3 linked regions of the Diceros bicornis minor genome follow. The protein of the gene in region 1 interacts with the protein of each later gene in a pairwise test. Links are inferred from orthologs where the notes say so. Each region holds a gene or a part of one and is shown in the gene's direction. Other genes may lie near its edges.

The links.
Region 2: the proteins of MKRN3 (region 1) and FAM110A interact in binary tests that used the Homo sapiens proteins (3 or more experiments, as listed by UniProt). The two-hybrid records come from large-scale screens. The link is inferred for Diceros bicornis minor from reciprocal best matches to the Homo sapiens genes MKRN3 and FAM110A.
Region 3: the proteins of MKRN3 (region 1) and TCHP interact in binary tests that used the Homo sapiens proteins (3 or more experiments, as listed by UniProt). The two-hybrid records come from large-scale screens. The link is inferred for Diceros bicornis minor from reciprocal best matches to the Homo sapiens genes MKRN3 and TCHP.

Annotation. Positions count from the first base shown.
Region 1 is NC_080744.1:77,046,173-77,056,069, reverse strand, and holds MKRN3 (probable E3 ubiquitin-protein ligase makorin-3), read left to right. Parts: upstream 1-5,633; 5' UTR 5,634-5,705; coding exon 5,706-7,196; 3' UTR 7,197-8,341; downstream 8,342-9,897. UniProt on the Homo sapiens protein: E3 ubiquitin ligase catalyzing the covalent attachment of ubiquitin moieties onto substrate proteins.
Region 2 is NC_080758.1:28,924,990-28,934,734, forward strand, and holds the start of FAM110A (protein FAM110A), read left to right. Parts: upstream 1-5,217; 5' UTR 5,218-5,378; intron 5,379-9,745.
Region 3 is NC_080774.1:17,707,676-17,717,633, reverse strand, and holds the start of TCHP (trichoplein keratin filament-binding protein), read left to right. Parts: upstream 1-5,572; 5' UTR 5,573-5,656; intron 5,657-6,868; coding exon 6,869-7,062; intron 7,063-7,582; coding exon 7,583-7,793; intron 7,794-8,409; coding exon 8,410-8,466; intron 8,467-9,958. UniProt on the Homo sapiens protein: Tumor suppressor which has the ability to inhibit cell growth and be pro-apoptotic during cell stress. Inhibits cell growth in bladder and prostate cancer cells by a down-regulation of HSPB1 by inhibiting its phosphorylation.

The DNA of each region.
Region 1 (9,897 bases):
TCTAGTTATATTTTGTTATTGATTTCTGGCTCAATTTCAGTCTGGGGTCAGAGAATATATTCTGAATTATTTCAATCTTTTGAAATTACTGAGACTTTTCTTAGGCCCAATATGCTGTAATTGTCATAAGTGTCCGATGTGTGATTTGCACAGACTAGAGTTGGTGGGTGTGGTGTTTTTATATACATCAATTAGATCAATAGTATTAATCATGTTATCAAAATCTCTGTAACTTTCCTGGGGTTATTCAACGAATCACATCCCAGCCCTCTAGTGGTGAGAAATATTAATACACTTTCCTATTTTTCCACGTGGGAGAACATCTTCCGGTTAGTTAGGTATGGCTGTTCACAACTCTCTTTAAGAACTGCCTAAACATTTTGTTGGAAGAAAGGAACAGAGGAAGGAACATGGAAAATTCTATGTGTATTTTTATATTTTAAAAAATGAAAAGCACTCCTTCTCCAAGGAACCAAGATTCAGATTAATTGTGTCCTTTTTTCTCTGTGGCCAGGGCATGCAGGTCTGAGTGTACACATGGCACAGCATCTATTTCCTCTTCCTAAATAGGAAGGAGGCAATAGGACTCCAACATTATTGTGTGACATTCTCCCCCCATCTCTGTCTTTTCATCTTTATTTTTTCTATCTCCTGGAAATGAAGCTTCTTCCTTCCTTATGAATGTATTTAGGCTATAAATTTTGCCTCTAAGTGTCACTGCAGGTGCATCGTAAATGTTTTAATATGTTGTTCAGCTGAAAATATTTTCTCCTTTTCTTTGTGATTTCTTCTATAACTCATAAGTGATTTAGGTTTTTTAGTGCTCTCTCTTGGGTTTTGCCCCTTAACCTCTCACCACATTAGCTGTTTTCCAAGTCCTTCAAACATTTACTTCATGTATTTATCCAGTTTCTATCATTGTTCTGGACGGAAATATTAGCATTATGCAAGCTATTTAATCCGGCTAGAAATTGAAATTTAAGTATGTTTTAGATGTGTAAAATATATCAATATGAATATGATATGAATATTTTGCTAACCACATTAAAGTATATAAAGTAGCTAAATTCTTGGCACTTGTAGAAAAGCATCCAGAAAATTTCTTGAAATTTTCAATGTTTAATTACAATATATATAATTCGGTATAATTTTTATAATCATAGCAATTTTTATGATACTATATTCAAATGGCTTTAGGATAATTTATACCCTTTTTATATCCATATTGAAATATGCAATTAGAAAGGCATTTTTGAGTAACTTTCTTGTCATCTAGCTGTTCACTCATGGTGACCAGATGTGGATTCCTCAAACTAGCCCACTCTCTCCCAGGATGAGCTAAAGCAGTCCTATCCCACGCACAATCCCATGGCAATTACAAGTGATGAGGGGACAAAAAGTACCGCACAAAGGTACCCACAACTGAACTTCTTTTTTTAAATAAGATATTTATTTTTGCCTGATTTTAAAGCTCAACTTGTTATTTTCCAGCTTTATTGAGATATAGTTAATAAACAAAAAACTGCACATAATTAATGCATGAAATTTGGTGAGTTTGGACTTCTGAACCAGAGTTGCAGAAAACTGTCTCTGTAAATTTCAAAATAAAAATCAGTTTGTCCAACAGTATGAGAAAATAAGTATTCTTTCACTACCTCTTATGTGCAAGAATTTCCAGGGATCCTATAGACATATTACTGCTGGATCCAGAAACATAAAAAGAGACTGTGCCTAGAGACTTTACTCACAGGATGATTTGAGTGATTCTAAAATACAAAGGACATTTATGGAGATCTCAAAGACTATGCCTTGTAACAGGCACTGTTCCAATCGTTTAATAAAAATTCTCTCTTTTAATACTCATAGTAGATCTGTGAGATAATCACTCATTATTATTATTGTTATTATTAGTATTATTATTCCCATCATTTTCCAGATGAGCTAAAAGAGGATGATTAATTTGCCCAAGGTTAATTCTTAGTTGGAGAGTATAGAGTCCAGATTTGAATCCCTGATGCCTCATTCTAGACACTTTCTTTTAACGCCCTCACACACTCCAGTAGTGCCTAAATGTTGGATCTGAAGCAGGTGTGTGTGGGGGAGCAAACTGCTTTGAAACAATTTGTGTCCTTTAAATATGGACACATCAGCCACATGGGACTGGGCCCAGAAGGCCTGAGCTGTTTGGAATAAAAGACTGCCGGGCCTCCTGGCTCTTTTCTATCCATCCTACACTCTACTTCTGTACTAGTCTCCTACCTCTTGGGCTTTTGTTACACTGCCTGGACTGTGCCTCAGCCCTGCAGTGCTGTAAACCACCTCCCCCCTTGTGACTCTGCTCCTGGTGACCTAGGTGCTTATTGCAGCCTGCTGAGGAGGAGCCTTGCTTTTATTCAGTCCACTTGGACACCCAAATGCTGACCAGCCAGGAGATCTCATGCTGGCCTGAAGACTGGTGTGTGTACAAGTTAGCTTCGGCCAGGTCCCAGCCCTAAGGTTTCTTGGGAAAAGAGGGCTCAGCCAAGCCCAGTAACTGGAGAAATGATCAGATGTGTGTTCTCAGAGACTGTATGAAACCATCAGTGCTCAAAAAAAAAAATCAGGACAAGAATATGATCTATGACAGTCAGACAAAATTCTCTGAGAATAGGTATTTGATCAGGACAGGAACTATGTGTTCATTTCTCTAAAGACGCACTGCCCATTATTTCCAGTTATTCAATTTCACGTGATATTTATAATCATGGGGTACAATTTTAGTTTCTAATAGTGTATATGAAATATTGCCACTATAAAACTCTAAGATATAGTACACTATGAAATGGTAGGACATGAACACCAGTGGGAGCCACACAGTGGGGATCTGAAGGCAAACCCTGCCCCGTGGCAGCTGCATAGCCTTGGGCAATTTAGGAAATCTCCATTCCTTTGTTTGAGGCGATGGGATGATCACATACTATCTAGAACTTCACTAAGACAGTAGCTACTAGCCACATATGGCTATTTAAATTAATTTTGAAATTAAAAAAATACAAATTCAATTCCTAAGTCACTCTAGCCACATCTCAAGTGCTCAAGAGCCATGTGGGGTTAAAGGCTACTGTACTGGATAGCACAAATATCAAATCATCATAGAACATTCTATTGGACAGTGCTTGTCTATAAAAAATGGATCAAATATAATTTAGACACAGTACTGGGAATATATTAAACAAATAATAGGCTTATGTTCAGGATTTTTATATTCATGAATATGTGAAGAGCCTGGTATATAAGCCTAGTATCTGTGCTCCAAGTCTTTTTTCCTGTGAAAATCTTCGGGACTGTAAAAGGAATATGCATGAACCAACGCATTTAGGAAAGGAAAGCAAATGCAAGTGAGTCTGACTTTGGAAGAACTGGCATCCTCAGCACAAAACTCAATAACTATATAAAGGAGAATTCAAAATCACCAAGATTTCCTAGATTCATGGTGGATAAACAGCAACATTCTCATATGATTATCAAATTAGGAAAAGACTACCTTTGAAAATATTGAGACTTTCACTGCATAATCAGAGTATTCCTCGATTTGTTTAGGTCTTCTTAAATAAACATGATTTTAATTTTTAAAACTTTAATTTCTAGGATAGTTAACTTTTAATGTTATGAATTTTAAATATTTAAGTGATATTGATGATATACATATAACTGATTTTATATATTGCACTCCTATCCAATGTCCTTGCTAAATGTGCTTATTAAATCTAATGGTTTATCAGTAAATTATTCTCAGTTTTCTGCTGTCTTCCATTAATAGTTCCTTTCCAATTCTAACATCATTTATTTCTTTTCTTGCCTCATTGTACTGGCTTGGACTTGTAACAATAAGCATAAAATTTTTTTCCTTTTTATTTATTTCAAAGGGAAAGCTTTAAAAGCTTTCATTTAGAGAATTATTTTTAATTACAGATTTCATTTATCTAACAGATCAATATTTATGTTTCCTACTTCTGCTCCTGTCATTTTTAATTAATAGACATGTTTCTAGAAATATAACCATTTCATGTAATTTTTCAAATTTAATGGCCTAACTTTGTTCCTGGTATCCTCTCATGATTTTAATGTCTGTTATTAATGTACTTATAACACTTTTAAAATTTCTGATCTTGATTATTTGAGCCTTCATGTTTTTTTGATAAATTTCACTAGAATGTATCTGTTTCAATAATCCTTTCAAAGGGTTTTGATTCATTCCCCTGACTTCATGTTTGTTTTTCTTTAATAATTTATTAGTTTTATTATTTGCTTCAATCTGATTTCTGTGCTACATTCAAACTTTCTCCCATTTTAAAATATAAATTTAGGCTATAGAATTCCCTCTGAGAAATTCATTTTAGCAAACAAAAATTCAGTAATATATAAAATGATGATACATCATAACACAGAAAGGTTTATTCTTAGAAAAAAATGGTAAGTTGAATATTTGAAAATCTATCAGTGCAAATAATCACATTAAGAGAATAAAAGGAAAAAATACCATATGATCATCTCTCAAAAAATGCAAACAACTACATGATAAAATTCACTATACATTCATGGTTAGTACTCTTAGCAAAGCAGGAATATAATTTATTTTACTAATCTAATAACATCTATCTGCAAAATAACAGAGCTCACACACAGGGAAATTAAAAGGCACCATTTGAGAGCAGAAGGGTATAGAATATGTTACGAAATACTGGCCTGCCACAATTCCACACAAAGCTGGGTGAAAGAAAGAAAGAAAGGGAAACAAAAGGCCACCATGAGTTAAACCAGCAAGAGAAAATAAAAGCCAGGGTCACATAGGGGACAGCAGCTTATTAAGCCAGCATAGGGACAGGACAAAGCCTGCGGCTTCTGCACAGGAGGGGAGAGAGAGAGACTACAATGAGCTGAGACATCTCAAAGGTGCTAAAGCGGCCTCAGATCACAAGCGCTCCCGCTAACGCCTTGCTGGCGAAAAACGTTCCCGATGTAAGCCCACATGAATTTCCAGAAAATAAAGACCAGAAAATATGACGCATCGTCAAGAAAATGTACCGAAAAAGCTTCTAGAAGTTACAGTCATGAGACAAAGAAAAAAAAAAAAGACCCACACAGACAAAAGGGAGTGAACGCAAAATAATTTATAAAATTATAAAATTCACGTATGAGATATTTCACGAACTACAAGGTGAATTTTTAAGCACAGGGGGGAAGACAGAATTGTGATTTTTAAAATAGACATATGTGAAAAAGCAATCAGGAATGCTAGAAGAGATTAAATTTAAAACCTCAAAGGCCGCGATTACGTCCTCCACGGGAGACGGCCGACGAGCGGCTGGGGGATCAGCTGGCGTGCATCGGAGCAAGACAGAGGCTGGAGAGGAGGGGCTGGCAGCCCTGCCTGATGCAAACAAAGGCAGCTTCCGCTCCGACTCTCATGCCAGCTGTACGGATCCGAGCACGCCGTACGGACGCGACAGAGGACTGACGTTGTTCCCACAGGAAGTGTCCGCCGCGCCTGCCCAGAAAGGGAAGTAGGAACTCATAGTCACAGGAAGTAGAGAGTGGGGGGAAGGAAAAGAGATGCACATTTCCCAAAGACGAGCCCCGGGCCGGTTACTGACCTCCGGGCCTCAAGCCCAAAAGGAAGAGGCACCGGGGAAGTTCCGGCACCATTTCAGGGCACAGAAGCTGCCATGGAAGAGCCTGCAGCTCCCTCTGAAGCCTCTGAGGCAGCTGGGGCCCCTACGGGTGCTGCGGCAGCAGGGGAGGGTCCTGGAGGGCCCCGTCTGCCCGTGCGCCCTGCCCCCCGGCAAGTTGCGGTTCCGAGCCCGGCCCTCCTCCGAGCGTCACGTCGGAGGCCTGCCCAGGCCTCAGGGGGAGGGGCCGGGCCCAGCTGGCTGCCGAGCCGGAGCAGCGGCAGCTGGACAAAGCAAATCACCTGCAGGTATTATCTGCATGGGCGGTGCAAGGAGGGGGAGAACTGTCGCTACTCCCACGACCTCTCAGGCCGGCAGATGGCCAGGGAGGGTCGTAGTTCGCCGCCTGGGGCCTCTGCAGGCCGAGGCGCCAGCACGGCTGCGCACGTTGAGACCCTGCCTCAGGAAGTGGCGAAAGCCCCCCCTGCTGCGTCCTCACGCTCCTTGCCTGTGATTGGCTCGGCTGCTGAAAGGGGTTTCTTTGAAGCTGAGAGAGAGAGTGCAGGCCTGGAAGCTGCCGGAGGAGCAGGTGCAGAAGGCTGGGCGGATGCCATTGAGTTTGTTCCCGGGCAACCCTACCGGGGCCGCAGGGCCCTTGTTGTCCCCGAGGCTCCTCTGCAGAGCTCAGTGACTGAGAGGGAGCAGATTGCTGTGGGCACGGGGGAGCAGCTTTGCCGCGATGCTATCATGGGGCAATGCTTTCGTGGGGAGAGATGTATGTATGTCCACGGAGACATATGCGATATGTGTGGGCTACAGGTCTTACACCCGGTGGATGCTGTCCAGAGGGAAGAACATGTAAGGGCCTGCATTGAAGCACACGAGAAGGATATGGAACTCTCGTTTGCTGTGCAGCGCAGTCTGGACAAAGTGTGTGGCATCTGCATGGAGGTGGTGTATGACAGAGCCAACCCCAGTGACCGCCGCTTTGGCATCCTCTCCAACTGCAACCACGCCTACTGTCTTAAGTGTATCCGCAGGTGGAGGAGTGCCAAACACTTTGGGAGCAGGCTGGTCAAATCCTGCCCGCAGTGCAGGGTCACTTCCAGCCTTGTTATTCCCAGTGAGTTCTGGGTGGAGGAAGAAGAAGAGAAGCAGAAACTTATTCAGCAGTACAAGGAGGCAATGAGAAACAAGACCTGCAGGTATTTTGCTGCAAGCGGGGGTTATTGCCCATTTGGAGAGAACTGTTTTTACAAGCATGCAGACCCTGAGGGCCTGGGAGAGGATCCTGTGCAGGTGGGAGAGGGCGACATGCCCTTTAAAAGCTGTAAAAAAGAGCTTGTCATGCTTCGGCTGGCCAATCTGTTGTTTAAGTGTTTCCTTTCACTGGGAGATAATGAGCTCCCCTTCTCAGAGGACCAGTGGGACTTGCTTCATTATGAGCTAGAAAAAACATTTCAATTTGAGTCTGTAGCATTATGCTGTGGCATGTGGTCTAGTGTGCTGAGGCTCCGTCATCCGCTATTGCCTGTTTTCTGTTTGTAGACACATCTGTCACTCACAGGGGCTGTTGAAGTCATTTTCATGGAGCATCCATCTCTGTTTTCTTGCCCATCCCATTTGTTTCCCCCTATGATTATGGTGTCTCACTGTGTTAAAAAGCAATCGAAAGTCCTTAAAGTTATTGTTTGGTGAAATTAATATTACTGTCAGTTTATGGTTTATTTTGTCGTCTCTGTTTTCAACAGGAGTGACTCAGTTCTAGTCTAGTGTTTACAGAATTTCCACACTCATTTTGAAGTCCCTCAAGAATAAATGTGACAGGGTGAAGGGAGAAGTCTTAACTGAACAAGGAGCTTTTTGCTACTACAGCCTTAAGAAATGGACCCTGGCGGGGCCTTGTGGTGCAGCTGCTCATCTCTTGTTGTTTACATGTTGTTCCTTCCCTCATCCCCTTCAAGTGCGCTCTTTAACTTGTGGTTACCTTGTGGTTTTGTGTTTTACTTGACCAGAACTAGGTGCATATGTTTACATGTTTTTATCCTGTTTAGCTTGATGTGAAATTATTTATATTTGGAAGTGTGTATTTAAGAATTATATATATATATATATATATATATAAAGAGAGAGATGCATATAAATGTGTATAAAAGTTATGTATTTGAAAATATATATAAAAGATATACATCATACTATGCTATAATGTTTATGTAATAAAGTAAATTTGGAGCTGGAAGCTGGAAGTCAAAGGCTAATAGGATTCACTGTGTTGTGTGAGTGTGAGGTGTGTGAATGATCTTTCCCTTTCACAGGCTTCAGTGATTAGCATCTGATGAAAACAGCTATTCAAGAGGCTCTGGTCAAAAGTGGCAGACAGATCTTAAAGGACTTACAAAATATGGCATTGGTCTTTCCTATGATGGCATTAATAGCTCACTCTGCTATTATAAATATAAAAATGTGTGTTCCCATGCAGTTTAGCATCATCTCATTATCTCCTATAACAGTACAATCCTGGACTCATACACACAGTTTTTGTATTCAATATTTTGTATTGTCTATAGACATTCCAAACAAAGGGCTTTTGACAAAAATTTCAACATATAAGTGACAAGATTATAAAATATAAAATAAAATAATAAAAATATTGAAACCAGTCTGAATGCAACAATGGAAAAATTTAAAAATAGAATGTAGAAAGTAACAAAAACTAAATACAATAGTAATACGGAAAGTTTATAATACAAATACACCATAATTAGATTAAATGAAAATGGTTTAAAAACTAAAAGATTATCAGACTTGATTAAAATTAAAATGAATCTGTTGCTATTTAAAATACACACCTACAGTATAAGAATATAGAAACATTAAAAGAAGATGAAAAAATCAAACAGAGGTGCTGTGACTTTTTATCATAGACAAAGTTCATATTAAAGAAAAACATATTACTGTAGATAAATAAGGATGGTATGTAAAAAACTATAATTTACTAGGAAGATAAAACTATTCCAATTTTTCATTCATTTATTAACATAGCATCATATATACAAAGAATTAAGAGTAGAAAAATACAAAATCTTAGTGGGCAATTTTAATAGATCTTTTCAGTAACTGAATAAGCAGAGAAAGAAATAATGTATATTTAACAGCACAATTTTAACAGTTTACCTAGTTGACCAGTATAAAACGCTGTATGCACCAACTGCAGAATGCTCTTCTCCTGGCTACAGTAGCTGATGATATGCTGGGCGCCTGAGTCCCAGGAAATTCAGACTGCCCTGACTATCCAACAAAGACAGGGTGCATTTACAGATTTTATACTGTATACTAAGCACTCTGCAAAGCACTAAATTAATTCTCAGAACCACTTTGTGTGGTACCTGCTATAATTTTTCTCAGGTAATTTTTCTTGGGGTAAATAAGGTAGAGAGGTTAAGTTACTTGCCCATATAGCTATGACCCATAGGTATAAATTAGTGGAACAGCTAATGGAACTCAGTGTATTTCCAGAGCACAGGCACTGTGCTGCCTCTTCCCCCACATATATGACCAGGAGCAGGTGGCTCGGCTGAATATAGCTACTGGAAGCATGTGTGAAATCTTTAATTTCAGCCAGGTGGGACAGAGATGGGCATAAATAAGCTCCTGCAAAAGGTGGGAGACTTGGGGCTTTATCTGTGGGCTGCCAGACTCGGTATTTCTTAGTCTACTGCTAAGAACGTGCCTCAGCCTTCCATGTTTATACACTGCCTACCTTCTTACATGATCCCTTACATTTTATGGATAAGTATCTCAGCCTGTTTCACTGGAGTCTTTGCCATATTCCTTCCCTTGTGATTCCTCTTATCCAGAGAATTCACCAATTGGGAGGCACTAGATGCCTGGCTATTACTGGCACATGGGGTGAGTGATTCGAAAAGAAATCTAAACGTGTTCCCACCCTTGAGGCTGCCCCAGTCATGCAGCGAAAGGAGGGGTTAGATGACCAAACAGCCAAAGAACAGGACCAGATGCAGCACTCCCAAAAACTGTACTGATACCAAAGGCTCAGAAAATAGGCTCTGAGTAGTGACTCAGCAGTCAAGGAGGGGTTTTTAAGCCAAGCCTGGAAAGCTTTGAAAATGTTGCCCTAATATACATTAACTACATTGTGAAATAATCACATTTTTATTCAGATAGTATCTTGAACCAAACAATCATAATAAAATTTAGGAGGTATAGTGGGACAAGGGTTCGTAGAAGA
Region 2 (9,745 bases), on another chromosome or scaffold:
ACCTGACTCTTTGGCAGGTGGAACCTGGCTCTCTGGAGGCCCCAAGGTGGTCTGAGAGGGAACTGGAGACGAGGACGGTTCCTGTGTCGGGTGGTCCGGTCCCAGGGGAGGCAGCCCGTATGTTACAGAGGGCACTGGCAGAGGAGGAAGGGGACTGGCCCTCTGGAGACAGTGTTGTCCCGGTTGCTGTGGGCTGTGTATTCAGTGGGGTGAGGATACAGGGCTTCAGGGTGGAATATGTTTGGGAAACGTGGAACAAGCAAAGAGAAGGAGGAATTCCTGCTCCAGGAGCTCTCAGAGCCTTTCCAACGGTGATGGGCATTGCGAATCTCTAACTGCAGGAAAAGTGGGTGAGAGGAGTGCGGACCCTGCCTTCTGGGAGCTCACGGGTGGTGGAGGAGACAGACCAGACACAGGCACAGGGACACACCAATGTCAGGAAGTGAAGCTCCCTGAAGAGAAATGTGAATGAGGGGGGAGCATGAAAGGTTTCCCTGGGAGGATGACATTTGAGCAGAGACCCGAAGGAGGTGAGGGAGGAGGTGAGGGGGCAGCTGTGTGGCTGTCTGGGGGAAGAGGGGCCCAGCAGAGGGAACAGCATGTGCAAAGGCCCTGAGGCCTGAGGGTGCTTGGTGTATTTGAGAAGCAACACAGGGGCCAGTGGCTGGAGAGAGCTGGGCTGAGGGGGAGGGTGGTAGAACATGAAGTTAACAGGGGTCAGCTCCAAAGGCCATGGTCTTCAAAGCTTGTTGGGGGGCCCTTGGAGCATTTGGGCAGGGGAGCGATACTCAGGGACACGCTGCCCCATGAGCTTATACTAGCAAACAGCCTCATAAGAACAGCAGCCGAAATAACAGCCAAGGGCACTGAGGGTCAGTCAGGGGCTGTGCCTCACAAGCCAGGGAGGGAGGCAGACTGAACGCTCATCTTACAGGTGAGGAAACTGAGGCTCAGAAAGACGTGCGTACATCTATGTGATAGATGCTCAAAAAATATTTCTGGAACAAATAAATGAGTTGAGAGATAAAATATTAAAAAAATCTTTTCATATCACTTAATATTCTTCACAAACATCATGTTTAATGGCTGTATGGTATTCCATTCCAGTCCCATCCACCGTTTCCATTGCTCTGTGGCCAGGAAATTAGGTTTATTAGGTTTTAATTGTTTCCTCTTTTTTTTTTTTTTTTTTTTTTTTGCTGTTAATAGCAATGCTGTAGTAAATATTCTTCTTGTTAGATCTTTCTGAATCTCTTTCATTATTCGGTTAGGGTCTGTTTCTAAAAGTACAGTTGCTAGATCAGAGTACTGGCCTATTGATACGGCACAAAATTTCTCAAATTTTTTTGAGAAGTGTGACTATATTGCCCTTCAGAAAGGGCATCTCAATTGACCTTCTCACTTTCAGTGTTTGGAGGGACATATTTGGGCTGAGTTTTCTTTTAATTCACTGCCTTATTTTGTTCTCTCATAGACTATCCTTAAAAGTGTTCCTTATTTTTTTAAATAGATAATACATTGATAAGGTACAAAATCCAAAAGGTATAACAATGTATTTTCTAAGAAGCTATTCTCTTTCCCCTGTCCCCCAGTCAGCCTAGCAGCCACCACTGGGACCAGTTTCTGGTGGGTCCTTCCAGAGAAGTTCAGACGCAAGCAAATACATATAGAGAGAATACGCTTTAAATTAAATGAAACAAAACAAAATACAGCCCGGGGTGCCCAGAAGATAGGGAACTGATATCCAAGGCTGATTTCATCTCAGTTTCTAGCTGAGTGGAGCAAATACTGCCAGGGTCAGGGTGCCGGGGGAGGCCTGTCCACGCGGTGAGATGCTCACCTGCGGGGTCAGGATAAGGCCACAGGACCCTCCAGCTCCCTCTGACCTGGGCACACTAAGGACAGCTTGTCTACCTTCTTATTCCGGGCTCCCCCTCCCCACCCCCCGCGGTGGGGGAGGGGAAGGACTGGATGCTTCAGTCACCCTGAATTGGCACCAGGTGCTCAACAGATCCTTGAAGATGGGGGCCATCACCAGGATGCTGTTGTCATGTGAGGATGCTCAGAGTTCCAGAATCCAGGTGTGCCCCGATGACCTCTCTTCGTGGGGCCTAATCTGGAGTCCAGGGGAGGTTCCTTCTGCCCTCTGTCCGCCACGCTTTCTTAATCTGGGGGCGAGGCGCAGGGTTGTGTTGTCTTGCTCGTGCTAAACTGTGGGGCGTGCAGGGCAGAGCAAGCCTTGAAGATGCGGGCGGCAGCAGGGCCTTTGTCCCCGCATCTCAAATATCTTCCAACCCCCGATTAAAGCTGAACATCTCGGAGAAGAATCTGACCACAACACCGTCACAGTCATTCCCGTGTGAATGACCGGGAAGCGAGGTCTGGGAGGCTTCACACGGTCGGATGCTTTCGTAAAATTTGCCAAAGTAAGGCATTTTAACCTCACTCTGTTAAGACCAACCACCGTCTCCTTCCACTCTGACTTCCCCTTGTGTCAGATGATGTTGGGGTGAGTAAGGAATTTTGGGGCTCTGGCTAAGAGGACCTTGACATTTAGTGTGGGTTTAGTGGTTTAATTTACATTGTTTCCAGTCACTTTTGTGAATAGCGCAATTATTACCAACTGACCTGGTATAGGAATGGTTTCCGGGAGTACCCCTACCTAGCTCACTGAGCTGCCTCAACGAGCACTGTGACGTGCAGGTGCAGGGTCAGAGGTCATATCACGATATCCAAGTGGTCTTACAGTGCCCGATACCACCCGGACGTGGCAGCGGAGAAATGTGGACGGGGAGCCAGACGCTTGTTTGGGGAAAGTATTATGGAGGCATGTCAAGCAGGTAACTCAGAAAAATAATGTTACTTCTCTGGATTTTGTAATGTTTGTGGAATTTGTCATTTGTTGAGGTTTCTTTTATCTTTCTAACCAAATAATCACTTTATTACCTCATTTTATATTTGTAAGTTTGTAGTCTTTTTCTTAAATAAGTCCCCCTAAACTGTCTCAGCCGCAGGAAGCACCAAGTCTGGGTCTGCCCCGGCTCAGTTTTCTCTGGGTCCGCCCCGGCTCAGTTTTCTCCGTGTCTTTTCGGATTGTGGGATTCCCCTTGCCTTTCCTCACTGGCGCAGCCAAGCAGGTCGTGCACACTTGCGCGGGAATGTAACGGAACAGGGGAGAGGACTCCTGCTGGAGCCAGACAAACCCTAGTTTTCTCATCTATAAAATGGGAGTAATAGACTCCCTGTGCTCAGACAGTAACGAAGACAAATGAGGAAATGTGTAAGGCCTGGAGAGCCTGGCAGGGGGCACAGTTAGTGCCGGGTTTGCTGTCTAGCTGGTCCTCACAGACACGGCCAGAACCCCTGTTCATGGCAGTATCTGTTCTGATTTGATTGGTGCCCAGGCCAGAACACGAAATCATGGTTAGCTATTGATACATTATTGGTCCTCCTCCCCCGTCTGCCCAAGGCGTGTACACAGTAAGTGCTCAGTCGTTGACAATCCAACCCAAGAAAAAAGACACCATCGGGAATAGAAAACAGAGGCTGGTTCCAAACTGAGCAAGGTGCTAGACCCACACAGTGGCTCACAGCAACAGAATTTCCTCATCTCGAAGGGCCCTTAGAGTTAATTTATTCTAATCCTCTTAAAAATATGTGTTTTTTTTTTCTTCACATGTTTAAGTGTTGGAAATTTGGAAAATCCACAAAAGCACAAAGAAGAAATTAACTGCTGTTATTATAAATGATTACACATATATACATGGGATATTACAATTATGTATTTAATACATATTCATGTTGTACATAGTGCTTTGAAACATACTTTTTAAAAACTTAACACTTTCTTAGCATTTTATCCATACTTTAAGTATCTTTCAAACACATTTTTTTTTTTTTGCTGAGGAAGATTGGCCCTGAGCTAACATCTGTGCCAGTCCTCCTCTATTTCGCACGTGGGTTGCCACCACAGCATGGCCACCAACAAGTGGTGTGGGTGTGCAGGTGACGGAAGTGGAGCATGTGAACTTAACCGCTACGCCACGGGGCCAGCCCCTAACTACATCATTTTTAGTGGCTGCATAATATTCCTCATCGCCAGCCCTGGTGGTTCAGTGGTTAAGATTCAGCACTCTCACTGCGGAGGCCCAGGTTCATTTCCCAGTTAGGGAACCACACCACCAGTCTGTCAGTTGTATCGAGGCGGCTGTTTGTTGCTGTGATGCTGAAAGCTACGCCACCAGTATCTCAAATACCAGCGGGGTCACCCATGGTGGACAAATTTCAGCGGAGCTTCCGGACTAGACAGACTAGGAAGAAAGACCTGGCCACCCACTTTGGAAAAACTGGCCATGAAAACCCTATGAACAGCAGCGGAGTGTTGTCTGATATAGCGCCGGAAGGTGAGAGGATGGCGCAAAAATACTGGGCAGGGTTCCACTCTGTGTGCACAGGGTTACTAGGGGTCAGAATCCACTCAGCAGCACTAATGACAAAATATTCCTCATCAGAAAATGGGTATAACTAAAGGTACCTATCTCAGAGGATTATGCCATGAGCACTGAGTTATGTTATGTAAAGCTACTTGGCATGTGAATGCTGGATAAACTTGTCTCTTCTGCAGGATAGATTCATATAACCAATCTCCTTTCGCTGAGCATTGAAGTTATTTCCATTATTTTGCTATGATAAATAACGCTGGGCTATATTAATCCTTGCTCATCTTTGGTCATTTCCTTAGTAAATTTCAGGACTGCTGGGTACGCGTATTTCAAAACTAACCTACTCATCATTGTGCAGCTGGGGGAACAGAGAGGGAAAGGGGCTTGCCCGGGCTCACGTGGCGAGTTAGCTGCAAACTGGGGACTAGGAACCACTTGGGGACCCTAAGTAGTGCCTCGTCCAGCTGGGAACCAGGGGAAAGTCCGGGCTGAGCAAGGGAAAGAACCAGGCCCGGAGCTAAAGCGCCGTCGGAGGAACTGGAGGCGAGCGGGCGGGCTGCGAGCAGGGGCGCTCACGCGCGGCGCCGAAGCTCAGCGGTCGCCTGGCAACCCCGGCGGCGCGGCGTTCGAACGGAAGCGAGAAACCAATCAGGATGTCCGGGGCAAACCATTCCGCCGACGGCGGGGAGGGCGCGTGCTCACTTCCCCTTCCTCTGCGCCGCGGGGACCTTCGCTCCGGTCGGGGGCTCGGGACAGGCGGGTGCCCCGCTCATCTCGGTGCGGAGGGCAGCGCCGAAGAGGCGCCTGCGGGTCCTCACGCGGGGCCGGGGCCTCCCGAGCCGCGTTGGGCGCGCCCATTCCCTGCCCGGGTCCGAGCTGTCAGCCTCTCCGAGACCCGCGCCGGACGAGCCGGGACTCGCGCAGCGCGGGCTCCAGGTGAGGGCGCGGGCGGTCTGGGGCGCGAGCCCGGGTCTACGGGGGCTCCGTTCCCCGAGCGCCTGCTGTGTGCGTCCTTCCCGCGTCACACCCGCCGGGAGGCGTGGTACCCCGTTTCATGGATGAGAACGCTGAGGCTCAGAGAGCCAGGTGTCCTAGCCTAGCGAGGTCCCACAGAGAATCCGATTCAGGTTTCTCTGCTCCGCCTCGCGGTCTCTAGTCTAGGCAGATCTAGATTTGCCTTGAGAGGCCCAGACGGGCAACTGGTGGCCACTTTCTCAGCCTCTTATCAGCAGGGACACGGCCCGTGGAGCCCTGGCTGGATCACCTCCCCCCTGCCCCTCCCTGCACCGTCCTCGGGGAGGGGTGTCCCCTCTGGCCATCTGTCTTACCTTCTCCAGAGCGCCAGGGGTTGCACTCAGGGCTTATTAGGGTCCTTCTGCCTACAGGGCTCTGACTTACACTGCTGTCCCTCTCAGAGGGCCGCTCTGGGGGTACTGGGCAGGACGGACATTTCTGGGCTAGGTGCCAGGTGGGCAGCAGATGCTCCTGCCCTGGAGTCGGTGTTGAACTCTTGCGAATCTGCCCCAGGTCTGGGGAAAGGGCAGAGGCAGTTCCTCAACTGAAGCCACTAGTCACCAGAGACTGGAGTTGGAGGTGGGGCTGGGACCCCTCCTGGTGGAGCATCTGACCCAGACCTGGCCCTGCTTCCTGGGGCTGCCCCTTCCCCCAGGTTGCTATTGTTGGTTTCCTTTTGTAGGTGGGGAAACTGAGGTTTAAGTTAAGCCCCTTGCCCAAAGTCACACTGTCAGCCTTGGCAACTGCTGGACCTGGCTCCCGGTCCATCTGGCTTCAATCTTGGAATCCTAGACACTCAGAATCATAGCATCTGAGAATCTTGAATGTTCTCAAAGGGAGTTACTTATCCTCTCCCCTCTGCACTCTCCTCCTGGCTTTGGGCAGAGGAGCTCTGGGAACTCAGAAAGAAAACAAGTCTTTCATTCATTCTTTCAACAAATATTTATTGACTTCATATGCCCTGCCCTCCCCCGTGTCTATTTTGTTTTTCTCAGTAGCATTTACCCTGTCTGATGTCCTATAATTTCACCTACTAGTGAGTTTATTATCTTCCCCGACTGGAATGTGATGCAAGGAGGGGCCAGGGTGAGGCAAGTGAGGCACTCGCCTCCAGCACAAAATTGAGGAGTGCCCCCAACCCCAGTAACTAAATAACTAAAGTGAATGTTTATTGACCATTTGCTGTGTGTTGTGCTGGTGGGAGATCTACTTGGATGGCCTCCGTGGAGCGCCGTCCCCCTACTCCATCACAATTACATGTGCATCCCCGGACCCGGCTGTCACACTTCTAGGCAAAATGATGTAGGTGCAGTGATGCTGGTGTGTGGTTTGTAATCGAGAAAGATTGGACACAGCCTGAGTGGCCATCCGCAGGGGCTGATGGGCTCTTTATGTACTGATGTGGCACAACGTATATTATTAAGTATGTTAATAAAATATTATAATTAATATGTTAATAACATATTATTAAGAACAACACATATTATTGAGTAAAAAGAGCAAGATGGAAACAGTACCCACCATGTTGCCATATGTGTAAAAAATAGAAAGAATGTGTCTATTATTGCTGGTATGGGCCTAAAATCTCTCCGGAAGGACATACAACTATTTGGTCACAGTGGTGCCTGCAGGGAGGGGAACTGGTGGCTGGGGACAGGAGCGGCAGGGAGTTTTTTTTCACTCCATTCCCTTTATAGCTCTTGAATTTTGAACCATGTGTGTATATCACCTGATTGAAATAAACATATATATATTCATTATAGGGAATATATTTAATCAGGAGACCACTGTCCTGTCTGTTATCTGTCACTGACTTGCTGTGTGACTTTGGGCAAGTTTCTTCACTTCTCTGGGCTGCAAAAAGAAGCCATGATGGTGAGCTCAGGCCTGGGCAGAGGACAATCCAGAACAGGAAGTGGGCTTGGCTGTGGGTCTGTCCCTTCCCCATCCTGTGTGCCAGGCCCTTCCCAAAGGCTTTGCATGTGGTATCTCTCTTATTCAGTCTTCCCTACAAGCCCCTTTGTCCCCATTTTGCAACCTCAGGTGCAAACTGAGGCCCAGAGAATTGAGTTGGAGGAGATGGACCGTTGGTGGGCCAAAGAGGAGATTGAAGCCTTAGGCGTCTGCACCCACACCCCTCCCGCAGTCCGCTCACATCTCTCTTCCTAGGTTTCTGCAGCCCTGGGCGAGGCTGACTCTGGACAGGCCAGGAGACAGGTGTCTGGGGAGACTCCAGAAATAGCGTGGGGCCTGACGTGGCCCTGGACGGTGCCCAGCTGGATGTCTCTGACCTGGACAGCTGGGCTGAAATCGAGCTAAGGCTGCCCTACTGGCCAGGCACTCTCCCTGCTGCCTGGAGCCTTTCTGATCCTCCTCTGGGCAGGTGAGGGCCTCTCTGTCTCCATCCGAGTCTGGGCCTGGCTTCTGCTGAAGAGAAACAGAGAAGCAAGTGGAAGGAAGGGGTGGGGGTGCAGAATGTCATGAAAATTATAAACGTCAGAAACCATACCTCTTCAGCACTTACTACGTGCAAAGTACTTTACAATATGAACTCATTTAATTCCCTCAATTCTACGACGTAAGGTAGTTACTGCTGTTATTATTTCCACCTTGTGAAGGGAAACTGAGCACCAGAGAGGTTTAGCGACTTGCATGAAGTCACCAAGAGCTGGAATTTGAATCCAGGGACTCTGGCTCCAGACTCTGCACCCTCCCTTTTTCAGTAAAATGTATATAAAATAAAATTTACCATCTTAACTATTTTTAAGTGTACAGTTCAATGCATTAAGTACATTCGCATTGTTGTGCAACCATTGCCCCCATCCATCTCCAGAACTTTTCCATTTTCCCAGATGAAAACTCTGTACCCATTAAACAGTAACCCTCCATTCCCTCTCCCCCCAGCCCCTGGCAGCCACCATTCTACCTTCTGTCTCTATGAATTTGACACTCTAGGTACCTCATGTAAGTGGAATCATACAATATTTTTCCTTTTGTGACTGGCTTATCTCACTTAGCATAATGTCTTCAAGGTTCATCCATATTGTAGCATGTGTCAGGAATTCCTTCCTTTTTAAGGCTAGATAACATTCCATTTTATGTATTATATTTTATTTATCTATTCATCCATCCGTGGACATGTGGATTGCTTCTACCTTTTGGCTATTGTGAATAATGCTGCTGTGAACACTGGTGTACAAATATCTGTTCCCGTCCCTGCTTTCAACTCTTTAGGGTATACACCTAGGAGTAAAATTGCTGGGTCCTATGGTCATTCTATTTTAAAATTTTTGCCTAACGGCCATACTGTTTCCACAGTGGCTGGACCATTTTATATTCCCAAGAGTGCACAAGGGTTCTAATTTCTCCACATCCTCACCAACATTGTTATTTTCTGTTTTTGTTTGTTTGTTTGATAATGGCCATCTTAAGGGATGTGACATGATAGCTCCTGTGGGCTTTTTTTCCACCCCCCCAAAGCCCCAGTAGGTAGTTGTATGTCATAGTTGCACAGCCTTCTAGTTGCTGTGTGTGGGACGCGGCCTCAGCATGGCCGGAGAAGCGGTGCATCGGTGCGCGCCCGGGATCCAAACCCGGGCCGCCAGCAGCGGAGCGCGCGCACTTAACTGCTAAGCCACGGGGCCGGCCTCTCATTCTGGTTTTGATGTGCATTTCCCTAATGAGTAGTGATGTTGGCCATTTGTATACCTTCTTTGGAGAAATGTCTATTCCAGTGACTCTGCACTCTTAGATTTGTAGCCTCTGAGAGAAGTGGCTCAACATTCTGGGCCGGTGAAGGCCTCGCCCAGGAGCTGGGCACTGGAGCATCTATTTGGTTGAATGGTTGTCATAGCTCACATTTTGGTGGCATTTGTCAGCACAGGCCTCATGCTGGGAGGGAGGCACTGAGGAATTCTATGTTACAATTGGGGAAACCGAGGCACGGAGAAGTTGAGTATCTTACCTGAGGTCTCCTGGTGGAGCTGGGATTTGAATGCAGGCAGGCTGGTGCCAGAGTCCCTGCTGCAAAGGTGGCCAGGGGATGGAGTGGAAAAGGGCCCTGCGGGCTGTGGACCCCGCGTGTGCAGAGGTTTAGATGTGTTGTCTGTGGAGGAAGAACTGGGCTCAGCTAGAAGTGGCCAGAGCCCAGCTTGAATGAGTGACTTGATGTTGGAGGAGGAGGGGGAGAGGTGGGGGAAGGCCTGGGGCAGCTTCGGGGTTGGGAGGACGCAGGGTGCTGAGGAGTCTTGGCCTTTGAGGTGGCCTGAGTTCCAGTCCTACCACTTGCT
Region 3 (9,958 bases), on another chromosome or scaffold:
CTCACCAAAAAAAAAAAAGAAAAGAAATCCCATTGTATGTATGTACACATTATCTTTATCCATTTACAATTCCGTACAGTACACTTAAAATTTGTTAAGACGGTAGATCTTATGCTGTGTGTTTTTTACCATAAAAAAATAATGAAAAATCTTAAAAATGAAAAAAAAGAAGAAGGAATCTCAAGCTACGGGGCATGGGGGGTGGGGCACGGGATGGGTTAATTCCATGTCTGGCATCACTATCAAGGACCAAATTCTTCTCTCTTCCTGTCCTGTGATGGTCATGGTCGGCCATGTCAGGTGGCTTCCTCCTGGTGAGATGGCGGCTGCAGCAGCACCACGAGTCTCCCCCAGATATGACGACACCCAGCAAACCCCCCCAGTAGACATTCCCTCAAGTGTCACTGGCAGAACTGAGCCCCAAGCCCCCCCAGCCCAGTCACCCACAAGGGCGTGGTCCCCCCCCAGATGGCTCAGACAAATCAGGGTTTACCCCTGAACTACACAGAGAGGAGTAAATGCCCCACCCTGATCACCTTGAGCAGGGAAGCTGGGGGAATGACCAAGTTAATCAGCTGGGGTGAGCAATAAGTAACAATTCCCAGCTCCTTCTTTAGCGGAGAGGGAAATAAACCAAGCATTCATTGAGGCAGATGCGATGCTGAAATTGTCAGGATTAGGGCACTTATAACACCAAGAGTTATCATGTATCAACTGCTGATAATGTGTCCAAGACTGGGTTAGGGCGGCAGTTGATAACAAACTGGTAGATAAAAACGACAAACAAACACATAGAGAAGGAGATTGGATTGGTGGTTACCAGAGGGGAAGGGGGGAGGGAGGAGGGCAAAAGGGATGATTAGGCACATGTGTGTGGTGATGGATTGTAATTAGTATTTGGATGGTGAACATGATATAATCTATGCAGAAATAGAAGGATAATGATGTACACCTGAAATTTATACAATGTTATAAACCAATGTTACCGCAATAAAAAAAAAATAACAAACCGGTACTATTATCCCCATTTTACAGATGAGAAAACTGAAGTTCAGAGATATGAAATAATTTGGGGCTAATTGGAGGCTCCTTCCTTCACATCGGGCTGGCTTTGAAAAATAATATGAATACCAACAGAAGTTAGAGCCATTCCAACAGATAAATGTACTCCAGATGGAAGCAGGCTGAGCTACCTGAGGGTTCTGGATGGAAGGTTCTGGAACTGAATTCCATTTTCCAGCTTCCTCTACACAGAGTAGCAGGCCTGTTAGAATAAGGTCTGATGAGCTCACCTGATTTACAGATGAGGCATCAATGGAGGCGTAATGGGAGAGTCTGCCCACACACCAGAGGAGGGCAGGATTACCTGCACAGGTTTCTTTCACGGCGATGACCTCCACATTGGCAGGAAGGAGGTAAGCGCCATAGGCCAGGAGTGCTTGGGGGGATAATCGATGTGGTAGCATCCAGGGAAAACAAACAAACAAATAAAATTGAATGACAATAACTAAAAGTGAACCACGATGAAGGTTGTGCTCCCCTTCCCTCCATGGTAGGTGGAATAATGGCCTCGACCTCCTAATCCCAGAACCTGTGAATATGTTACCCTACATGGCAAAAGGGACTTTGCAGATGAGATTAAGGTTAAAAACCTTGAGATGGGGTGGTTATCCTGAATTATCCAGGTAGGTACATGAATCCTTAAAAGTGGAGAAGCCTTCCCAGCTGTGGTCCAGGGAGATGTGGCTAGTGAAGAATGGTGAGAGGGAGATGCTATGCTGCTGGTTTGAAGAAGGAGAAAGGGGCCACGAGCCAAGGAATGTGGTGGTCTCTACAAGCTGGAAAAGGCAAAGAAACCTGTTTCCTCTAGAGCCTCCAGAGAGGAATGCAGCCTTGCTGGCACCTTGAACTTAACCCCATGAGACCCATGTCAGACTTCGTCCTACAGAAGCATATAACGTATATAAAATGTTAATATCTGGAGAAAGTCGATGCGAAGTATAACCTTTGCAATTACCTTTGCAATTTTTCTATAAATCTAAAACTATTCTAAAATTAAAAGTTCAGTAAAAAAAATAGCCTCCTATGGTTGGCCCCGTGGCCTCGTGGTTAAGTTTGGTGTGCTGTGCTTTGGTGGCCCAGGTTTGGTGCCTGGGCGTGGACCTACACCACTTGTCAGTGGCCATGCTGTGGTGGTGACCCACATGCAAAATAGAGGAAGATTGGCACAGATGTTAGCTCAGGGAAAATCTTCCTCAGCAAAAAAAAGAAAAAAAAAAAAGACTCCCAGGCCCCATCCCTGGCCAATTAAATCAGAACCTCTGTCTCGGATCAAGTATCAGGATTTTAAAAAATCTCTCCAGGTGATTCAGACCTGCAGCCACAGTTGAGAGCCACTGGTGCACTGCAAGCACCTCAGGAAGTATAAAACATGATGGAAACGCAGGTTGTTATGATTAACCAACCAGCGCATTACTTTTTAATAAGTTACACAAGTAAGAGTGACCATCGTAAAATTAAAAACCCAGAGAGAAATAAAAATTAAAATCACCCCTCATCCTGCCCCCTAGTGATAGCCACTGTTTTTGGTGAAAGCCCTTTTACACTTTTTTCTCATGGATACCTACACATTATTATTCCTGTTGTTATTATTATTAAAACACAAAACTGAGGCTCTGAGAGGCAGCCCCATAGCCCCAGGGTCTTGGAGCTCCCCGTTTACTTCTGCATCCTTTGTCTTCAGGGAGGATGGGGAGCCCAGCGCAGGGCAGAAGAGAGAAGCCAGAATGGCTCATGTTGAAATGCATGATAACCCAGTGTAGATAAATGTGCATTGGCAATCCCACCTGCTAATTAAGTGACAGCCTTGCACGGCCTCCAGCGCTGTCACATTCCAGCTAATGGGGAGCTGCTCTCGGGCTATCACACCATCTCCTCATTCCTGTTTTCTACTCCCGTGGTAGGACAGCCAAAGACACAAGTCCAAGAACAGCCCTGAGTAACTGTGCGCTGGCCCAGGACCCAGTGTGTGCAGCGTCCACCTCGACAGTCCCCTGCCAGGGCTTCCTCTTTCAGCCCCCTGTGGGCCATCCTCATCAACCTGTCACTGAACATTTAATGTTGCTGAACTCTTGATCTGGCCCAGCTGGTCCGCATCCGCTGGCTTCTTTTAAGAGCTACACCTGCAAGCTGCAAGCTCCTGGAAAAGCAGACTGAAGAGAGATTCGCAAGCTCTGGAGGTTGGGTGTAAGTCCTGGCTCTCATAGTCCTTGCTGTGTGACCTCAGGAGAGTTGCTTCACCTCTGAGGCTCACTTTTCTCATCTGCAAAATGGGGGCAGGAACCTCACAGGTTGGAAGGAGGCTTAAGCAAGGGAATCCACCTAAAAGCATCTGGCACCTGGTAGGTATTCAAACAACGTTAGTTCCTTTTTGTCTTTCTTTCAACACCATCTTTCCCTTTTTCTTTGGGAGAAGGAAGAGAAGGGACTCCAAGCTGGGGAATCTACTCATTCATTCTCAACAAATATTGATTGAGTGCCTCCTATGGGCCAGGCGCTGGAACGACAGCAGGGAAGGTAATGAGTCCTGCCCTCGTGGTGCTGCTGAGAGGGCACAGGCCCTGGAGTCAGACAGAGCTGGGTTCAAATCCTGGCTCTACCACCTACACGCTGTGGTTCCTTGGGCAAGTGATGCCGCCTCTCTGGGGCTCAGTTTAGGCAACTCTAAAATGGGGACAACAGGGCTCCTGGGAGGAACAAAGGAAAAGATACTTGTAAAGATGCTCATTAGAAGTTGAATAGTGGGTGCTGGTGAGGATGACTGTCCAGCAGAAGAAGCCCAGAGGCCATGGCCTGGGGCTCAGGCTTCCAGGACCAGGCCAGTCTAGCCCTAGGCCCTTGAGTCCCACTAGTGGGGTTTGTTTGGTCCTTTAAGGCCATTATACAGATGAGGAAACCGAGGCCCAGAGAGAGGAAGAGCCTCACCCAAGAGGCACAAAATCAGAACCTAAAGTGACCCGATTCACGTATTTCTGAAGTTCTTACCACTCAAGGAGTCTTGCCAACAACAGTGAGCTCTTGCATTGGGGGGCAGCTCTGGCTGGGCTGGTCACAGTGGGTGGCTCTGCCTCTCTTGCCCGCTGGGAACACAATATGGAAAAGTGGCCGTGAGCTTGGCCAAAGGGGTAGGGACCAATGGGAGGGTAACCGTGGGGAAGCTCATGCCCGGGGCAGAGCAGACTCCGAGTAAACACATGTCAAGAAAAGGGAGATGAGAAAGAAAGCATGCTCGCTGGAGATGCCCCAGGTGCTCTGCTCCAGGGCACTCATCATTTAAATCTTCATTTCCTCTCAGGAGGCAGCCCTAGAAAGCAGCACTGTTGGTATTCTTGTTAAAAGGTAAACAGAGGCACATTAAAATTTTCAAGGGTTTATTTGAGCATACATGGATTCAAATTGGGGAGCGTCAAACCAAAGGTGTTTGGGAGCGCTCCACCAACAGGAACCAGGGGAGAGGTTTCTATAGAGAAGACTCAGAAGGAAATGGGTTGATTGGATGTAGTGGTGGCCTTATTTGGGGAAGCCTACTTGACTGTGATTGGTAAGTTCCATTTTCTTGGATTCGAGCACATTGACTCCGGCTTAGGTTTCGGTTTGGTAGCTGGGCTACAGAGCCGTTAGAGCCACCCTGGTCCAATGGCCCCCTTGTTCAATTACTGTAACATTCTCATTTCACAGACATGATGCTGAGGCACAGAGTGATCAGGTGACCCGCCCAAGACCACACAACTTGCGTGGTGGAGGTTGGAATAGAGACCACGATGTTCAACAGGATACTATACTGTATCCAGGAAAAACAGAAACTGATAAAGGAATGAAAGGAAGAAGACATGAAGAAAATAACAGGAGAATGAATGAAAGAGTGAATATTTTTCTTTATTATCTTTTTAATGAAATAGTTGATACATAAAACATTATTTGTAACACTCGTGAGTTATAAAACATTCTAACAGAATGAACACCCTTGAACCCACCACCAATCTAAGAGGACAATGGAAAGTCACCAATAACTCATATCTACTTACACCAGTGGTTCTCCCAGCTGGTTGCACACTGAACCCACCTGGGGAGCTTAGATAGCCACTGATACCCGCAGAGAGCCTGATGGGATTTGTCTGGAGTTTGGTCTGGGCATCTGGATTTTATTTTTTAAGGCATCTGTATTTTTAAGAGCTCCCCAGATGATTCTCATGTGCAGCCAGGCTTAAGAACCACTGATTGTTATTCCCCTCTCCTATCGTACCCCCCTGATTTCCCCCCACCCTCACCTTCATTCCTCCAGGTAACCACCATCCTGAATTTTGTGTAGTAAGTGGATTCTTTTCCATCATCCTTCTGTTTCCAGGACTAACGACGTTTGCGATTATCTCCCGCCCACCACGAGGGGGCGCCAGAGAAAAACCACAGCCTCCTGTCTCTGCGCGCCCGGCGTTGCGCGGGAGGCGGCTTGACCCTCGCGGCGCTCCGTCACCGGTCCGTTGCCCGGGCAACGAGAAACGGCCGGCGTTGGTGCTGCGCTGCCGCGGAGTGTCGCGGCGGGACCGGCCGGGCTTGGTTGAGGCGCGCGGGAGCTCGGGCCGGGGGACTCTTCGGAAACGTGAGTGGGAAGGTGGGGCGCGGCCGGGAGCCGGGACCCGCAGAGCCCGGCCGCAGGCGGCCCCGCGCTGGCTTCCGGGGTTCAGGGAGCCGCTCAGCTTGTGGGTGGCCGATCCGGCACCGGAATCTTAAGTTTCTTGGCTCCTGGTGCAAAGATTTATCCACGGGCGGCTCACAGGGCGAGGAAGAAAGTCTGTCAAGCCCGCCACAGTCTCGAGACAGAGCATCAACTGGCAGCCGCAGGCTAAACTTGGCCCACAGCCGCGGATGGTTTCCCCCAGCTCTGGAGGCCTCGGAGTCTGAGACCTGGCGTGGACCCGGGCCTATGGGCTTATTCAGCAGACGTTCCTTACGCACTGTCCCAGTCAAGCACTGTGTAAACCCTGCACATGCGGGCAGCTGTTGGGTCAGGGGAAAAGGTGTCCCGAGTGAGACTGCTCTGCATTCAAGAGTCCAGTTGTGTTCCCTGATTGCTCTGTGACCCTGGCAAATCCACTCCTCTCTCTGGGTAGCAGTTTCTCCATCTGTAGGATGAGGGATCTGCCCTCCATGTAACCCAGGAAACTTCCAGGTGTGACACCTAGGCTAGGCCCCTTCTGGCCAAAGCCGGGGCATCGTGCTCCCAACTGGCAGCCTCTTGCAGTCTACAGAGCCCGGGCCCAGGTCTCTGACCGACATGAATTAGGATCCCAGCTCTCTTATTTCCTCTGCTTCCCAGCTTTGTGGTCTTGGGCAAGTCACTTTACCTCTTTGAACTTAAGCTGCTTCACCTGCCGAATAATGGGGTGATTATAACAATGAAAAGGTCATGAATGTCAAAAGTTTGGCACATACACATGTTCCTTAAATTACTATCCGTGTTACTTTAAGCAGAGCATACAAGGCCCTGTTGTGCTTGGTCCAGCATTGCTAAGAGTGGTTCCCTGTCTCCATCTCCAGTGCCCTTGATGGTGTCTGCCCATAGCCGGGTGCCATCTAGGCTTATTTAAACCGATGATTCGCAACCGTGATGGCAGATCATTTAAAAAATGCTGATGTCTGGGGCCTACACCAAGACTTGTTTGATTTAATTGGTCTGGAATGGGGCCATCCTCCACCGGGCGATTCCAGCGTGCAGCCAGGCGGGGAGGACCACTTATGAAAGGGATGAGGCCAAGCTTGTGAGGGTTCCTGGGGTTGTAGCGACTCATTTTCCTACCATTGCTGTTCTCAGATGGCCCTCCCCACGCTGCCCTCATACTGGTGCAGCCGGAGGCTCCAGGATCAGCAGACAGCACGACAGCGACAGCGAGAGCAGGAGGCCCGGCTCCGGCAGCAGTGGGATCAGAACAGCCACTACTTCCGGATGTCCGACCTCTGCAGCTCCAAACAGGCAGAATGGAGCTCCAAGACCTCCTACCAGCAGAGGTAACTGTGTAGTGACTGTGATTGGATGATGCTGGGGGGCCATCTGCTGGGGAGGGGATGTGGCCTTAAGGACCAGGAGAGTGTGGCGTGACAGCATGTTTTCTCGAGGGGTTTGCGGAACAGCGTAGATTACCTGCATGAGGTTTTTCCAACTGTAAATTGAAAAAAAAGACCCTCAGTGAAGTAAAACTTTTGCACTGCAAAAGATAAAGCAATAATCTGGAGAATCTGGAAGTTTTCTTGTAACTCCACATCCCCAGAGAGAACCACAGTTAACAGCCTGATTCATGTCCTCTCATACTTTTTCCCATTTGTGTGTGTATATAAATATATACAAATATAAAACAAGATTCTACAATGCGTAGTGTTCTGTGACCTGCTCTCTTCACTTTGGCTGGAGGACACCTTCCCGTGTCAGCATGTTAAGTCTCCCTCAGCCTCTTTTACCCACACAGCAGAGCAGAGCGTTCCACGTGTGGCTGTGGCATGATTGATTTACGGTGGGCTCCTTCTCACCCAGCATGCATGCTTATCAGCGTGAGAAGATGAAGGAGGAGAAGAGGAAGCATCTGGAAGCCAGACGGGAGAGACTCAGGCAGCTTCTGCTGGAGGAGCAGGACTTGCTGGCCAAGGAACTGGAGGAGCTGAGGCTGAGCATGAACTCGCGGGAAAGAAGAATCCGGGAGCGGCACGGGAATCTGAAGTCGGCCCGAGAAGAGCAAAGGAAACTGGTAACTTCTCACAGCCCTTTAGGAAGCTATGGAGCCGGGGCATCCCGAGCCCATCAGCGTTGTGCATGTGGGGTCACCGCTGGGTGCTCTGGTCTGGTGAGATGGCGATAACTCCCGAGCCAGCTGGGAAAAGTGCTTACTCTAAGTTGTTCTTCACGTGTGTTTTGCATAAGTCATCCCTCTTTTCTTTGGCCCCTTAAATCATTACATCTGAGTCCTTTTTCTTTATTCAAGTTCTATGGTCCCACAAAGGCCTGGGACTGGTGTATTTTATCTTCCAAAGTAGTTGTGTGGAATGGTGAGCCCCAAGCTGTGTTTTAAGCCTGCTATATATTTGGAAGCAGGTCTGTAGCATCTAGGACCCATCTGAAACATCAGATTTTGGCCCCCTTTTGTCACCATTGTAAGAGTGATTTGTCATGCTGTCCAGGTCCACTCAAGTGTCTGGCTCCCGGAGCCAGGGGTGCCAGGCAGGCAGGAGGTCTGAAGGCAGGTGTAGTGACAGCGTGCCAGTGGAGCAGCTCTTAGCCTGAGCTGACTTCCATTGCCGGTTCTCCAAAATGTGAGTGGATTTGAAAAGCAACGTCAGCTTTCCCTCTCTGTGTTTTCTTGACAGCTTGCCGAACAGCTTTTGTACGAACACTGGAAAAAGAACAACCCCAGACTTCGAGAGGTGAAAACCAAGGAGATCCCTCCGTTGATTTGCCTAAGTAGATGAAATAATTTTAGCCAGCTTGTTTTAAACTTGGATCTTGTGCTGGGGTCAAACAGAGGAGGGAACACTTCAGCCACCGGAAAAGAGCACCATGCAGAAGATTTGGTTCATTTGCTTGTTTAACCACTGTTTATTGAACATCTGCTGCAGTGTCCACATGTCGGGGCGTGGAGATCAGAGGTGGTCTCCACTCTTAAGGAGCTCACGGTCCAGTGGGGGAGCAGTGGGCAGCTTGTAACAGTGCAGGATGCACGGTGCTGGGCAGGCCTGGGAAGAAGGGCGTCAGGGCAGTGCACCCAACTCAGTGGGAGGTCGGGGAGGCATCCCAGAGGAGTTGCTGGGGTGGAGGAGTTTGGAAGGACATGAGATGTTAACTTGATGGTGTAGAAGTGAGGAAAGGACATTCTAGATCGAGGCAACCGTGCAAGAAGCAGATCTGAGTCATGCGAGCAGAGCGAGTCCAGGGAGCTACAAGTGGCTGGGAGGCTAGGATGTCAGATAGGGAGGGGGAGCCCCAAGAGCTGAGGCTGGGGAGGCAGACGGGGCCAGACTTCGGCAGCCTTGTGCAGCCTTCCCTTGGAAGCACTGGGGAGCGCCTGGATGATTTTACACAGGGGTGGAATGGGATCCCAGCTGCATTTTGGGGAGCAGCAGCTCTGGCAGCCATGTGGAGAGGGGTGGGAAGAGGTGATGCCAGGTGAGGGGCGGCTGTAGCAGCCCAGTGAGTGATGGTGAGGCCCAAACTGGGGTGGCAGGAGAGAGGACAAATCTGCAGGACCTGGAGGTGGCGGGGGTGCGTCATGGCTTGGGTGCCATTGTTCAGTGGAGATTGGGCTAGAGGGAGATGATCACATCACTGAGCTCAGTAACTAATTTCAGCTAACAGTTTGTGTATGCGTTTGGTGGTGTTAATTTATATATTCATGATTACATGTAGAAATTGCCGGTCATGAGTAATGAAGCATCTGGGTGCTGTGGAGTATTGTGCAGTTAGCACTAAACCATGGGGGGACCCCTCTCCCTGGCCATTTGTTGGGCTAAGGGGTCCTCTAAAGTCACTCACTCAGAAAAGTTTATTCAGAACATTCAAGTTAGGTGTAAATGTTCATATTTGTAAGTTGAGACGGAAATTTAAACTTTCATAAACAATTTCCCAAACAAAAGCTTTTGGACAGAGTATTGCAATTCATGTTCTGATCCAAAAGATTCTCTAAACCCAGATTATTAATAACCCCACACTTGTTGCATCAAGTAGAGCGTGCATCTTGTGCTACAGGGATACGTGTTTGCACAGCCGCTGTTGTGTGGAGGAAGTGCTGGGGAGCCAGACAGGGAGCTGTCTGCCCCTCCCCCAGCTCCTGCGGCCCTGGGGCCCCGCGTCCTTTAGACCAGCCAGGGTGGCCTTTGAGGTTGTATTTCCATTTCAGTGTCTGCTGAGCTGTTCCTGCTC